Mus musculus: one gene and its partners. The protein of the gene in region 4 interacts with the protein of the main gene of each other region in a pairwise test. Links are inferred from orthologs where the notes say so. Each region holds a gene or a part of one and is shown on either strand. Other genes may lie near its edges.

Region 1 (3,500 bases), on a different chromosome or scaffold from region 4:
TTAAAGGCGTGTGCCACCACACCCGGCGGAAGGCTTATTTATTTTATGGGTGTTTTGCCTGCATGTATATCTATACCACACGCCTGCCTGGGACTTGAGGAGGCCTGAAGAGGACACTGGATCCCCTGGAACTCGGCTTAGAGAGGGTTGCAAGGTACTGTAGATTCTGGGAATCAAATCCAAGTTCTCTGGAAGAGCAACTGGTACTTGTAACCACTGAACCATTTCCCTGGCTCCAAGCTGGCTTTCTTATACAGCCCAGGACCACCTGCCTGGGGCAGATGCAGCTCATAATGGACTCTATCAATTACCAAACCCATCTTGCCCCAGTGTGCCTATAGGTCACGCTCATCTGGGTAATCCCTCAGCTGAGACGTATTTCTTAGGTGCCTCTAGGCTGTGTTAAGATGACAGTTAAAGCTAACTAAGACACACAGTACCTGGCCCATAACAGTAGATGTTTGACATCCCCGAGCAACAGATTTTCCCAGGTAACACAAGTGTAATACTGACAGAACGAAATAGACTGAAATACTGCCACTAAAGAGAAGTACCTCTGGGGTTAGAGAGGTGGCTCAGTGGTTAAGAGCACTGATCGCTCTTCCAGAGGTCCTAAGTTCAATTCCCAGCAACCACATAGTGGCTCACAGCCATCTGTAATGGGGTCTGGTGCTCTCTTCTGGCCTGCAGGCATACATGCAGGCAGAACGCTGTATATATAAATAAATAAAACGTTAAAAGTAAATAAAAAGGCTAGTACCTCTATATGAATGTTTACTTACCATTGTGTCAATCTCCTCCAAGATCTTCATGAATTGCTCAATTGTTGCTTTTACTTTCCTATCAAGTTTGCAGAGAGCCTCCGCTTGCAATTCCTTAGCCAGAAAACCCTGAGAAGGAATAAGGCACTATTGCAAGTGTTTGAGACTCATGGAAAACCATGCCAATAGACTGGTGAAGCAACCCAGAGTTCACCACTGATCTAAGAAGCCCGGCTAGATCTCAGACCTTCATCCCCTGGGAAAATTAGAAATGCTTGCCTTGGCCAGACTAAGAATACTACCAGGGTGTGGACTGTTCTTTCTCTCACAGTCCACTGAGGCATGAATGCCCCCTGAGGAACTATGGTGCAGCCTTCAACACAGGTGCATACATGCACATAAGAAGCAGACATTAAGAGAACAGACTGAAAAGCTGGGCACAGTGCATCAAGGGTTGGCGTGAGGTGTCTTTGCCAAACACTGTGTGGTGGTTTGAATAAAAATGGCCCCCATATATTTGTATGCTTGGTCACTAGGGAGTAGTGCTACTTGACAAGGATTAGGAGGTGTGGCCTTGTGGGAGGAAATGTGTCACTGGGGGTGGGCTTTGGGGTTTTAAAAGCCCAAGCCAGGCCCAGTGTCTCTCTCTAAGTGTTGCCTGTGGATTGAAATGAAGAATTCTCAGCTACCTCTCCAGCACAAAGTCTGCCTGCATGCCACCATGCTTCCTGCCATGATGATAATGGACTAATTAAACCTCTGAACTTTAAGCCAGCCACAAATAAACGCTTTCTTCTTTTAAGAGTTGCTGTGGTCACGGCGCCTCTTCACTGACTAAGACTCTGCCTTATTTTTTGAGACAGGGTCTTTTACTGAATCTGGAGCTTGCCCAATTTGGCTAGACTGTTTGGGCAGTGAGCAGCTGGGATCCAGCCCTCTTCTCTTTGCCTCCCCCACACTGGGATTATACAGTGTGCCATCATGCCCAGTTTCTGCATGGATGCTGGGAATCTGAACCCAGGTCCTGATGCTGTGTGGCAAGCACTTTATCAGCTAAGCTACATTCCCAACTTTGGCTTAAGATCTTAAAGCAAGTTCCTTAAACTTGCCACGTCTCACTGATCTCAGATTATGGGATGCTGACCGGCAGATGTGTAGATGCTCACATAACTCATGGCACAGATAGATACACAAGATAACAGAGGATGGCGGTATTATTGTGGCTTTGGTTTTGAGACAGGATCTCTAACTCACTGCATAGTCAATGCTGCCCTTAAACTGATCCCGTCTCTTGCTCTGAGAAAAGCTGTGATTACGGTGTACAAGCCCACACCTGGTTGAGGTAGCACTTACTGTCATTAAACCACCCTGCTGTTCATTTGCATTTCTTTGCCTAGTGATCAGTTAGCGGGTGGCTGAGTTGAAAAGCAGGAATTTCTGAAGATGGCTATCAAACCAGAGTGACAAAGGCATATTTGTAAACACACAGCAAGAAGTTCGAACATTACTCAGAAATCCAAACTCAGTTCTATCAAAGACAATCACAACTACTCAAAAAGGACTCCTGTCTAAGGGCACTCAAAGCAGCAGCACAGTAAGAGAAAAAAATCAGGTAAAACAGAGAACAGAGACTAAGGTAGGTAAACCATGATATATTCACATGCAGGAAAATATGACCATTTTCAACAACACAGGAAAATGTTAATTTTTAGCCAGTAAAAGAACAATTTACCAAATGTATAGCATATTATATTTTAACTAAATAAGGTGAAAAATACTTTTCAGAGTAATAGCATCTCTGGGTCAGACATACAGACCTGCACACAAGAAGCACAGTAAGAGCCGGGCGTGGTGGTGCACGCCTTTAATCCCAGCACTTGGGAGGCAGAGGCAGGCGGATTTCTGAGTTCAAGGCCAGCCTGGTCTACAGAGTGAGTTCCAGGACAGCCAGGGCTACACAGAGAAACCCTGTCTTGAAAAACCAAAAAAACAAAAAAACAAAAACCAAACAAACAAAAACCAAAAAAACGAACAAACAAACAAAACAACAACAACAACAAAAGCAGCACAGTGAGAGCAGAGCTGAGCTTAGGACGTGAAAGGCCTCGGCTTGAATCTATCTATACGCACATATAAAACTTTTGTGTAAGCATCACAAACTAATTTTATAATTACAACACAAAACAGGACTGGAGAGATGGCTCGGAGATTAAGAAGGTGTACTGTTCTACTAGCCGACCTGCGTTCTGCTCCCAGCATCTAGAGGCTCACCACCTCACATCACCCCAGCTCTGGGGGGTGTGGGGGGTGTCTTCCTGGCCACCAGCACTCACATCCACCTACTCCAACACAGACCCAGGCAGACTCACACATAATTAATATATAATTTAAAAATGAAATAAATTATTTTTTAAAAAGCCAACCAGGCAACAATACCATACCACTCTATCCACAGAATAGAGAAGTCACCTGCTGGATGCCAGAAAGCTCTTTATTCAATTCTTGCAGGTGGTTAGCTATCTTCTCTGCAGATACCTCCAAATCTTTCAGCTTCTTTAACTCAACCTCTTCTTCTGGATTGCTCTAACATAAAGAATAAAACGAGGTCAGTAATTGCTCACCTAAAACAACTGAGCCAACCTCTTGTGCTTCTTGGAAAGCAAGTCAAAGGGTTAGACAACAGGATTCCTATCCATAAAGCCCAGCCCAGGGAGAAGGAAGGCCAAGCGAGCATCCTAG
Region 2 (4,098 bases), on a different chromosome or scaffold from region 4:
GCCACGTGAAGTTCCTGGGCCTCTCAGTCCCCTCATCAAGCCTCAGTGGGCCAAGCCTGGGAGTGAGGTGGCTTTGAGGGATTTCTGGTGGGCTTCCCTATGCCCTAGATTTATTGAAGATGGTCTTAGACCAGGTTGTGCTGGATGGTGAAAGAGTCAGACCCTCTGAGAAAAGACAAGTAGAGGGCACTGGAGTGGGGGAAACATTTATTCAACTTCAAGGAAAGCTACAGACATACCAAAAGCTAATCACTGAGACAGGCCTGGCAAAGACAGATTTCACACGTAGCACAGCATCCACCCGCTCACTACAAATGGTCTTGGAAGCGAAATGGGTGAGAGAGGAAGTGATTGGCCTGACCCAGACTATCCCCATATTTACAGCATTGGGCCTTCTAGCCAGACCCACGGATTCACAGAGAAAAATCACAAGACATTTTACACTGAGGATTATTTCTGATTCCATACGCTTCCAGACTAGGCCTTGTGGGGCCTACCAGGCAGCAGGAGTTCAGCTCTTGCTCCTTTCCTCTCCTCTTCTCAATGTCCACACTTTGACCCTTCCCTAGCTCCCTTCCCACCCCAAGGAACAAGCTACCTGAGCCTAGGGAGTGGGGGCTGGGTGGGGCTGAAGAAGGATGAGGTGGGAGAAAAGAGACACAGACAGTGGGCTCCATTTCCCAGGCCAGCTCAGCTGGGCCCAGCACTACCCAACCTCAACTGCTGCCCCTTATGGAAGTTTCCAGCAGAAACTCAAAATACAGCCATCATCCTTTTATAAATAAGTTAGAACACAGACGGGGAGGGGAAGTCACATTAAACATGCGAATTTCTTTTTCTTTTCTTTTTCCTGGGGAAAGGAGCGCAACCACAGACACGAGGACATTCAGAAACACTGGCAACTTGGGGGGGGGCGAGCCAAGAGAAGTGGGGAGCACGGAGGGGGAAATAATAATAATAATTATTATTAACAATAATAACAAGATAACCAGTCCAGGAGAGAGGGAGCCATGGGAAGACCTAAGACCAAACGAAAAATTGTAACACAGGACTGGGGTGTGACAGGCTCGTGGGAACTGGTCCCCAGCGGGCAGCGGCAGTGCAGGGAAGATTGGAAGGGTCGAGCTGGGGTTGGTGCGGGCTCTCGGGCCGCCCAGGGCTCCTCCGGATGGGCTCAAGGTTGGAAGGCGCTGCCGGCTGTAGCCAGACTCATACTTTTCAGTTTGTTGTCTTTCTTCCACTTCATGCGACGGTTCTGGAACCAGATTTTGATCTGACGCTCGGACAGGCAAAGCGCGTGGGCGATCTCGATACGTCGCCGCCGGGTCAGGTAGCGATTGAAGTGGAATTCCTTTTCCAGCTCCAGGGTCTGGTAGCGAGTATAGGCGGTCCGGGCCCTTTTTCCGTCTGGCCCAGTCATATCTAGAGCAGTTAGAGGAGAGCCCCGAGGCAACGTTATTCCGGTTAAAGGAGGGGGCACTGAGTGGGAGGGGGCGGGGAGCAGGACCCAGGCGTCCCCAGCACCCAGCTCACCGCAGCTCCCATCCTCCTCACCCCAGATGCCTGCATCCAGCCTCTATTTCTTCATACCCCCCCTTCTCCAGCAGCCCCCACTTCTGATGGTAGTGAATGCTCCCGGCTTTGTCTCTGGCTCCTTCCCAGTGCCTCACCCTAGGCTGGGTTCAGGCGGCAGCTCGCCCGGGAGGGAAGAGAGCCACTGCACTTTTGCCCTAGAAAGCTCCGTTTATAGCCCATTCCCCCTTTGCTAGCAGCAGTCTCAAAATTTCTGTAATAATCAGGACCCTTCCTCACAATACACAAATCCCATCTTTCATCCTAAAGCCGGTGACTGGCTAGGTAAACAAAACCTAAGCTGAACGTGGCAACAAACTGGCCTTTTTTTTTTTTTTTTAAATGCCTACGCCCAGAAAACAACACTGTTTGGCTCTATCTATGGAGCTGTGGGGACCCTTTCTGACACTTTTCCCTCTTGATGGCAAAAAAAAAGAAAGAAAGAAAAAGAAAAAAAGAAAAGAAAAAAGGGATCTATATTTGAGGCAAAGCCAAGCTTTGCTCGCCCCCACCCCCAACACAGGGCAGGAATGCGGAGAGGACAAAAAAGAGATGGAGAATTACCGTGGCTGATGTGAAGCTTCCTCATCCAGGGGAATATCTGTGGAGTCTGCCCCTCGGGCGCGGCCGTAGAGGTGGCCATGGGCTCTGGCTGTGCTCGAGCCAAGCTGGGGCTGCTTAGCTGGCTCGCCGCTTCCTCGGGCTCAGAGGACGCGCTGGCCTCGTCTATTTCGGTGAAATTGGCGCTGGAGCTGGCTGGGGTCGCCTGGTCGGAAGGGGACGAAGCAGAGGGCTTGGCGCCGTGGCTGTCGCCGTTAGTGCAGGGCAGGGACTCGGGCGAGGACAGGGAGCAGCTGGACGTCGCCTGCCTGAAGCGGGGTTCCTGGGCGGACGCGGGGAAGGCGCGCGAGCTCTCGCCCACCGCCCCAAAGTGGCTGGAGGAGGCCGAGGAGCGGTTGACGCTGAGATCCATCCCATTGTAATTGTAGCCGTAAGAGCCGGTGTGCATGGCAGCGGGATCCCTGTAAGAGCCGCTCAGAGAGCTGCCACTGCCATAATTTAGCAACTGATAGTCCGGGCCATTTGGATAACGCCCCGAGAAGGAGTTTACAAAGTACGAGCTCATTTGGGTGATTTTGGAGGGCTTGATTTGTGGATCGTGGTCGTTATAACCCTGTGCTTCACGATTTATGATGTATTAATGAATTATAGCGATGCACTGTACTTCGTTTTGCTATGTATGCGGCCAAATATGGGGGGGGTTAGAAGGGGGATGGGGGGGCGTTAGGGAATCACGTGCTTTTGTTGACCAGTCGTAAATTCTCACTGATGACCTCAAGAGGTAATTCATGCTCTATGGTTACAAATAATGACGATCGGAGAATCGTTAGGGCCGATTCAATGCGAGCCTCCGAGAGGGGGGGAGAAAGTGAGAAGGGGGAAAAACAGGGAGAAGGTTGACGTTGGCCTCTGAGCAGAGCGCGCCACCTCCCGGCGATTGACGGGAGCGCGGGCCGCAGGCCGCCATGGCGGCTTCGGCAACCTCTTTGCTGGCTCTGTGCAACCGCCAAGCCAAGAAAGAAACCCGGCCCGCAGCTCACTCACAGGCTTGAACCTTTAGGAAGATGGATTTGAGTCTTTTGCCTACTTCGTTAGGGTGCGGCTATCCCCTCTATTTGTGGCCTCTCTGACATTATCATCACCATTATTATTTTAACTCTGGGTAATATAATCAAAATGAAGTTGCTTGATCTTCCCTCCTTAGGCTTTGCCAGTCCCCAACTTGGGTAAGGAAATGGGGGGAAGGATTATAAGTTGTGTGTGAAAAACAATTATAAGAATTTTGTTAGCTCAGCCAGGTCTGCTTCTTGGCTAGGCTTCAGCGGCGGGTCCACAACACGAGAGAGAGCCGCAGGACTAGGCTGGAGGGAGGCTGGAAAAGGCAGGGAAGCTCTTCGTTCTCCTGGGCCCCTGGGAAGTTTGGATTTTTCCTTCTGACCTCTCATCCTTAGCCTAGGCCTAGGAACCGAGGTAAACAGGGACCCTAGAAGAGAAAGATGGTCGGTCGGCCAAAGACTAGAGAGACAACCGTCTGAGCGGTTAAGGTTTGGTGGTAACTCTTCTGCGGGAGTTTGGGGTTTAAACAGATCCCCTTTAACAAGCTCGCCAGATGCCAGCTATCTCATTCAGAGACCAAATCCAAAGCCTTGTGTTGCTGGTGGCCAATAATTGGAGAATTTGCTCATGGCCTTACCGCCTTCCCTGGGAAGGTGTTCGGAAGACCGGCGGCCCCTTGCTGAGCTCGCTGGGCGGCCAGAGATCTCCGCAGCTGGGCCCCTTCTGCCAGACGGCTATTTTCTTTAAAAATAAAAAAAGGAGGGGGGAGAGGGAGAAGGAAGAAAAGAAAACGGGGCCTGAAGCTTGCTGCTCGGGTGTGGGTGGCAGTAAAGAGAAAATGAGCCATTTTGGGTTGAGAAGGTGAGACTAAAGGCGCCATCACCTGGACCCCTGCCCTCGGGTCTCCAA
Region 3 (4,166 bases), on a different chromosome or scaffold from region 4:
CTGCCCATTTTATCTGCAAAGCTGTGACTACCCTAGGATTTACTGCGTGTTCCTGACCCAGCTAGGATCCCTGGGCTACAGGTGGGCTGATCAGATATGCACCTCCATCTGTAAGCACAGTTGTTCTGAACCTGAACAGACAGACCCACTGGGTCAAAGCATTCTGGTGAGTCCTGCACTGAAGTTACAGATGACTTGTTTTAAGTTCAGAGTCTCACACTGTAGCCCAGGTTAGCCCAAAACTCCTGGCTAGCTCCTGGTATTGGGATTACAGGCATGAGCCACTACATCTGGCTCCTAGACCACTTTTTCTTTCTTTCTTTCCTTTATTTTTGGAGACAGTCTCACCATGTGGCCACAGCTGGCCTTGACAGTCACGCACCACAGCACCTAGACTGCTTGTGATGACTGTACAAATCCAAGTAGAGAGGGGCTGGGACTGCCATCAGAGGTACAGCATCACCCCAGAGCCCAGAGTTCAGGAAATACTTCAGTGGGTGAGGTCATTGTAAGACAAACACTTCATATCAGCATTTTTAATATCCTGTACACTCTAAGCCAACATGAAGAACCTCTTTTAGAAGCACAAGCTGGGACTGGCGAAATTAAGAGTACTAGATGCTCTTCCAATGGGTTCAACTCCCAGCACCCACATGCCAGCTTATGATTGCCTGAAACTCCAGTTCCAGGGGACCTGGATGCCCTCGAACACACAAACATACAGGTAATAGTGCACATAAAATATATTAAAAAAAAAAAAGCACAAGCCACCAGGACAAGCCTTGACAATGTTGGCATTCCTTCTAAGCATACCTGGCTCTATCAAACATCCCGATTCCTTTTTTTATAAATCACAACAGACAGTACTTATGCTCCACAAACTCCAATACCAAATCACAAAGTATACAAATTAAAGGCAAGGCTCCTCTCTTACAGACCTCAAGTCCAAAACAGAGAGTCCAGCCCAAACCCAACTGTCTTTTCCTAGCACAGGAGTAGAGCCTGTCTAGGAACAAGCACCAAGGTTCTGCCACAAAACCCCAACCTGCCCTAATAGTCATCTCTTAGGCAATTTACGACCCAGGTGGCGCTCATCTAAGAGTGACTGGAGCATAGGGCTTCACTTCCAATGTGTCCCTCTTTTCAACTTCTCAACGCACAGGCCTGCCCAATCTCTTTCTCTAGCATCTTCCACTGAAGCAGCTATCCTCATCCAGCCAATCAGATGGCAGAAGATGGCAAGCAAGTCTGGGCAGGGTTTCCTAACAGGTTTCTCTCTGGAGCCCGGGGCCAGTGCTCTGGAGAAAGAAGCCTGGACACCGGGCCACACAAAGCTGTTGGGACAGCTGTAACTGACTTCAGGATAAAGTTGTGTGCCCAGAGAACTCTGTCCTAGCATCCAACTGCAGCTATCCTAAGTGAGAAGAACCGAGAAGCTAGCTCAACTGCTCTTGCCTGGACACTCAGTGTTAAGGAGACAGAACCAGGGAATCACCAAGAGTTCAAGGTTAGCCTTGGCTACAAGAGATCCTGTCTCAAAAACAGGGAGAAGTGAGAGGTGGCTCTTATCAGAACTCTTAAAGGCCTTTTGCCCCACGGTCGAGGAAAAGGAACCCTAGGAGCACCCTGGCAATGATCTAGGCAGAAACTTGGGGGGCAGTGCTGCTGCTCCCGCAAGCACTCCAAAAGCCACTTAAACACAACTTGCCTTCCCAGGCAAACAGTCACTTCACGAGCTAAAAGTTTTGTGATGCAATGACCAAACTAAACCAAACCAAACCAAAAAACCATTCCCCTCCCCACTACTAGAGACAGGAAGGACATACAGGGATGGGTCTTATGACTCCAGGCTTCCTACAGTGTACAGTATTTGTCTGGCGACACCACCTACTTCAGAGCTACTTACCGGTCAGAGAGCCTGTGCAAGGTTGCTTATCTCCGCCCACCTCGGCAGAGGGAACATGGGTACCAGGCACTACGGCTGGCTTGGATAGGGCGAAGCGGCCTCTTTTACTCGAATGCACACTGTAGGCCCTAAGGATCCTTCAGTAAGTATACCACGCTGTTTGTTAAGTTTCCAGTGGCAGAGACAGCCAGAGGAGGGCAGGACTGCGATCACTCACAGCCTGAATACCTTTAGAAAGAAAACAAACTCCCCTTCGACGCCCGTTTTCTGCTATGCAGGCAGGTAACTAACTCATCCACTAAAACAACAGTTCCTTAAGAATAAAGGAAGGTGGGGCAGAGAATATACACAAGACTCCCCCACAAAAACCCAAGCTACAAGCCTAGCGTCTCGGTAACGAACGAAGCCTTCTGATGTGACTCCGGGTGCTTACAGGCCCCGACACGGCCCAGTACTCACGGCCTTCCGCACTCTCACTCGCCTAACTACGGAGCCCAGCACCGCCCAGAACGCGTCTGGGAGCTACTGGGAAGCTCAGATTATCTGTTGCGGGGTCGGCGGAACTCAGTTCGCCAAGAGTAGGGGGGCAGTGGGCCGTGCTCCCAACCCTGTATTCTCCCGTGGCACAGCGGCTGGGCCCTAGTGCCCCGAAGGCCGAGACTCGGAGGCCGCGAGCGAGAGGAGGCCGCCGTGGCTCCGCTCGGCGCCTCCCGGAAGCTCACTGGGAACGGCGGCGAGTCCGGGCGAAGATGGGAGTGCGTGCGCAGGCCGGTGGCGGCTCACCTGGGCGACCGCGGCCCGGACCGTCGCGGCGGCAGAGGCGGCGGCGCTCCTTTGTCTCGGGACTTCCCTCCGCGCCCGCCGCGCGCAGCACGGAGCGCAGGACCCCAGCGGGCGGGGCGGGGCCTGAGCTGGGCTGCCCGCCACACGCCTGCTCAGCTTACCGTCCCTCCCGTCCGGTGGCCTACGCGTCTACTTAAACACGAGCTTCCCGCAGCCCGCACGCGGCTGCCGCGCCCTCGTTGCCCGCGACCGCCTAAGGAGCCCGAGCCCAGGGCGCCTGTCCAAGCAGGCGGTGCCCTGAACGGCCGCACTCTTAAAGGGGCCGCGTCCTAGGCTCGAGGGAGCGTCTGCAAACTCCTCTTCGGGATGAGCGCGTCCACTCGAGGACACATCAGAGAGTCGTGTGAGGAAAAAGAAGCATAGATTCCCAAGGGTCATCCGGATGCTCAGAGGGCACCTTCCCGGGCACAGGCTCTGGAGGTATCCTTGGGCTCAAGGCCCGAGTCCCGGGAGCAAAGATCACTGAGGCCTAAACATCCTGGGAATCGTCGCAGTACGGTGACGATCCCCGGAACTTAGCGCGCTGTGACACTTTCTGCAATTGGCCAGCTCAGGAACTTGGGCGGGGTGAACCTCGAAACTATCCAATGAACTAGCCTCATACAAAGGGCCAAACGCAAGCAAAACCGACGGGGAGAGAAATGTGGATGCTCCCTAACCTACGAGTTAGCCCCCTAGTGGGGGAGGGGAATGGGCCTGCGCCGTGGGGGAGGGGCAGCACCCGCGGACCCCCCCCCCCGCGCGCGCGCCCCAGGCCTCTTCCCTGTGCCGCACCCCACACCTTAGTTCCACCTGAAACCCCTGTGCGGCTTCTGCTGGCCCCGCTGGACACGCTTTTGTCACGCCGTGGCCTAGTCCAGTTTCCTCGGCCAGTCCTCTGCAACCCAGCTCGGATGCTTCCTCACCGACTCACCGACGGGACGGGTACTTAGAACCGTCGGCTGGCCCCCTGGTGGCCATTCTGGCGCCTGCTCCTTTTTTTTTGGCACGTGCTGGAGGCCTTTCGGGGCCAGTTGCAGCCAACAAGGGCTTCCTGGGAATTTGGACTATGGGTCCAATTGCTGCCAGGGACTCCAGTGTTCATCTGTCAGTATCTCCGTCCATCTACTCACCACTCTCTCCTTCCTTCGTTCTCCTCTTACCTTTTGAGGTTGTTGGGTGCCCCAAAACAGGAACTAAGGTCCCATGCCCCTTGCCCACAATTGTCCAACATTCCCTGGAGCTCACCCTGTTAATTCCTCCTGTTCGTAGCCGTACTGTTTAAGAGTTAAGATCACAGTGAGCACCAGATCCTGAGGGACCTTGGTCTCTCATTGGGGCTGAGTTGTAGACAAGGTCGGCTTAGATACAAGTTCCTGACACACTAGATCTGTACCCCCAACAGATCTGGTTTGGATCCATCCCAGCCTGCAAAACA
Region 4 (3,500 bases):
CTTTATTTTTCACAGTTACTAAAATCAGTCAAATATTAAATAATTTAATTACAAAGTATTACATATGCATACAAACTACTTGTAACAGCGTGACCGGTTACTTTCTTGAAAAATGGCAAATTATTATATTTTTATTTACATACTGCCCATAATATTTGATGGGCTTTTTATAGTGCTGGCTCCTAAGTTTAAAAAAAAAAAAGTATATTTGAAAAAACTGAACCAGAACATTGCCACCTAAAAATCACTGTCCTTGTAACAATTGCACTAAGATTTAGCTCTCAACTTCATCTTAAAGAGCATTAGTAACAGGAGATCTACCTATTTAAATATAAGAAATCATGCTTCCATAATAAGAGTATCTTTTACAAATAAACTGTAAGAACACAAAATTTAATTTTTATTCACAACACTGCCATAGTAAATGTAAACTTTTTATAAAAGTTTCTTTTACTTTAGACATGTTCTTCCTTTTAACTGAGACCTTGTCCTAAAGAGCCTTGATCCTTTTTATTGTCAAGTAAATGCACTTAACTTGGAAAACCATGTTAAAGAAATTAGCATTCCCACTGTTTGAAAAACCTTTCCTAAGGTATAGGTAGTTTCCTATTTAGGTCTCAATGTGTTTATGTAAAGGTGACAGGTTTTTCATGTGACTTACGACACTTTACCAACAAAGGATGCACATTACTTAGCCTAAGAAAATGTGTTGAACAAATAAAGGAGCAATTTAGGGCTATGACCTGGGAAATAAACTTAGGCCCAGTCCTGGAAATGGTTCTTATGAGTGAAGATCAAACAACTTTCACAGTTTTATTGTTCTTAATTTAGTTCTGGTCTAATGATCAGGTCCACTTAGGTAACATTTCATTCTCACTGTGCGTTATGCAAAATGCTTTAGGAGAGAGTTATAATAAAATTGTAGAAAAAAATGATTTTCTATGTTTTATGGACCCCAGCACTAAGGATGTTATGCTAAATGTGGAAGTAAAGCAATCCTATTACCCCAATATAGCTTCAATTCTAGTACACAATGGCCAAAAACAATAAAAAGGTGGGGTAAAGCCATACTTCCTTAAGCTCTGTTAGGCACTCCACTGGCTGTTTTTTCACTAAAATAAAGGACCTTCTACTCATTGTCTGTGACCACTTCTCTCTCAATATAAGGACATATATACACTGAAAGTTTCCAATGCCTAATGTACCTTTTAAAAGTGTATATCCAAGAAACCTCCATTTAACCAATGTAACAGGGTCATTTAAATTTGCCACAGAGTACTTTTTAAAAACAATGGTACATTTCTCAGTCCAGGATTCATATATACACATACTAAATTAATTATCACATTTGAGATGTAGAATTTCTTAGAATGCATCACATGCAAAGTAACTGTTAACCATAAGCATGAAACAACTGCTGCATTAAAATCAAGCAACATCCAACACTCCAGCAGCCACAAGTTGCCGGGACAGCCAGTCCAACCCTTCGTAGAGCCCCATTCCACTTCGAGCATCACAGCCCTGAATATACCAACTCCTTCCACAGCATAGTTTATGGAGACTGAGAAGTTCAGTGATTTCTTCTACTGAAAGTGCTCCAGCTACATCCTAAAAAACACATAGAGTGATTTCTATCAATCAAGGAATCATTTTTCTAACTCTTACCAATTGTATAGAAAACTACTGGTAACACTGTGATTGAATCCTAAACAAAACCAAAATTCATTTTCAGATTCTAAGATTAACTAAAAGAATTAAGAAAATGTTTTGGTTAGAATATCTATATATATTAAGGAATAAATAATGAAATCAATCACAGCTATGATAGGGTAGGTGGCGGGGCACCTTTCAGAAGCAAAGGGGAGAACCAGGAAGGGAGGCAACACTTGGAATGTAGATTAATAATTTTTTTTTAAAAATGTTACAAAATAAAGTATTAACTTTTTTATTCTATTCCATGACCAGATCTATTAATCTAGGTTTTCTTCATCCTTTAACTGAATTTAATATATAAGTTAGTTTGATGCTCCCTAAAACTAGCTATGCTACTGTTTCTCTTCCTGTTAATATTATTCCTTCACATATAAACTCAAATACATCTGTAAGTTCAATCCTATCATAATTTAAACTCCAATCATATGACCGAATCCCCCACTATAAACCATTCAAAGGATCAAAACCAAGGCCATGCACATGTTACATGGGACATGTTACATGTTACATGGGAGCACTGCCACTCAGCTCCAGCTTTTCCTATTTCTGAGACAAGGTCTTGATGCATAACTCAGGCTAGCTTTGAGATTGCCATATATGCCAGGCCAATCTAAACTCCTGATCTACCTAAATCCACTTTTACATACTTTAAGATACAACCTAATTTAGAATAGGTCTATCCTTACGTCTCAGCATTCTATTAATATTGTTGAAGTGATGTCCTAATTTATATATATTAGAATATAGCATGAACACACAAGAATGCATTTACTTGATTTGTATGTGCATATACTCTACAATATCGAAGGTAACATTTTCCACAGCAGAAATTTACAAGTATCTATTGATTCTTTGATATCTTCTCAAATGACTTATGATATGGAATATGCAAAACTACCAAAGTAATAAATGTTGATATAAAAATTCATTACCTGTTTGTTAGCAAAAATCAAGAGTAAGGCATCTCGGAGTTCTTTTTCCGTTAACAACTTTGCAAGTTCACTGTGTGCTTCACTAATTCTGTCTCTATGACTACTATCAACAACAAATACAACAGCTACAAAAGTACACAGAAATTTTCAAGTTATTTATTAAGTTTAAGTAAATTAAAAAGTATTAATTGCTTTCATTATTCTTGCTAAATCTTATTTACCCTATCTTCATTTAAAGGCTACCTACCTACTTAATGTCACTACTTAAAGCCTTAAAGCAATAATTCAGGAAGAGTTTAGATAGCTTCACAGGTTCTCCTCCTCTGACAGGTTTTATAAAACTGAATCTACCAAAAAAAAAAAAAAAAAAAAAAAACACCTGTCCCTCAGAACCTGTCCCCTGAAAATGTGCTTAAGATCTCCCTTAAGGCTGCCTGTTCTTTACAAAAGCAGAGTGAGAGCTCTTTAGGGAAAGGCAAACCGCTAGGAGGAAGGAGAAGTGTTAATGATGCATACATATGAAAAATGCCATAATGAAACTCATTACTGTGTATGTTAACTTAAAAAGTTAAAAACAACAACAAAACTGCTGAGTCTGGTAGCCCACACCTTTATTCCCAGCACTCAAGAGGCAGAGACAGATGGATCTTTATGATTTGAGGCTAACCTAGTCTACATAGCAAGCTCAAGGTCAGGTAAGCCTACATACTGTCTCAAAAACGTGAAAAAAAATAGTAGCATAGAAAACTATAATCTTAAGGAATAGAAATATCACCATTATTATAAAATAGGTGTATGTAATACTTCATGGGAGGGGGCACAAAAGTGTAGAATGGAGCCAGGTGTGAAGTAAGT

Evidence for each region.
Region 1: the proteins of Trim23 (region 4) and Bag1 interact in binary tests that used the Homo sapiens proteins (3 or more experiments, as listed by UniProt). The two-hybrid records come from large-scale screens. The link is inferred for Mus musculus from reciprocal best matches to the Homo sapiens genes TRIM23 and BAG1.
Region 2: the proteins of Trim23 (region 4) and Hoxb5 interact in binary tests that used the Homo sapiens proteins (3 or more experiments, as listed by UniProt). The two-hybrid records come from large-scale screens. The link is inferred for Mus musculus from reciprocal best matches to the Homo sapiens genes TRIM23 and HOXB5.
Region 3: the proteins of Trim23 (region 4) and Ube2i interact in a two-hybrid assay, tested with the Homo sapiens proteins (3 studies listed by BioGRID and IntAct). The link is inferred for Mus musculus from reciprocal best matches to the Homo sapiens genes TRIM23 and UBE2I.

Annotation. Positions count from the first base shown.
Region 1 is NC_000070.6:40,938,295-40,941,794, forward strand, and holds part of Bag1 (BAG family molecular chaperone regulator 1), read right to left. Parts: intron 3,345-3,500; coding exon 3,231-3,344; intron 891-3,230; coding exon 783-890; intron 1-782. UniProt on the Homo sapiens protein: Co-chaperone for HSP70 and HSC70 chaperone proteins. Acts as a nucleotide-exchange factor (NEF) promoting the release of ADP from the HSP70 and HSC70 proteins thereby triggering client/substrate protein release.
Region 2 is NC_000077.6:96,302,214-96,306,311, reverse strand, and holds Hoxb5 (homeobox protein Hox-B5), read right to left. Parts: upstream 2,801-4,098; 5' UTR 2,699-2,800; coding exon 2,137-2,698; intron 1,423-2,136; coding exon 1,175-1,422; 3' UTR 191-1,174; downstream 1-190. UniProt on the Homo sapiens protein: Sequence-specific transcription factor which is part of a developmental regulatory system that provides cells with specific positional identities on the anterior-posterior axis.
Region 3 is NC_000083.6:25,270,632-25,274,797, forward strand, and holds the start of Ube2i (SUMO-conjugating enzyme UBC9), read right to left. Parts: upstream 2,801-4,166; 5' UTR 2,690-2,800; intron 2,135-2,689; exon of another isoform or gene 1,907-2,134; intron 1-1,906. UniProt on the Homo sapiens protein: Accepts the ubiquitin-like proteins SUMO1, SUMO2, SUMO3, SUMO4 and SUMO1P1/SUMO5 from the UBLE1A-UBLE1B E1 complex and catalyzes their covalent attachment to other proteins with the help of an E3 ligase such as RANBP2, CBX4 and ZNF451.
Region 4 is NC_000079.6:104,199,339-104,202,838, reverse strand, and holds part of Trim23 (E3 ubiquitin-protein ligase TRIM23), read right to left. Parts: intron 2,771-3,500; coding exon 2,646-2,770; intron 1,609-2,645; coding exon 1,429-1,608; 3' UTR 1-1,428.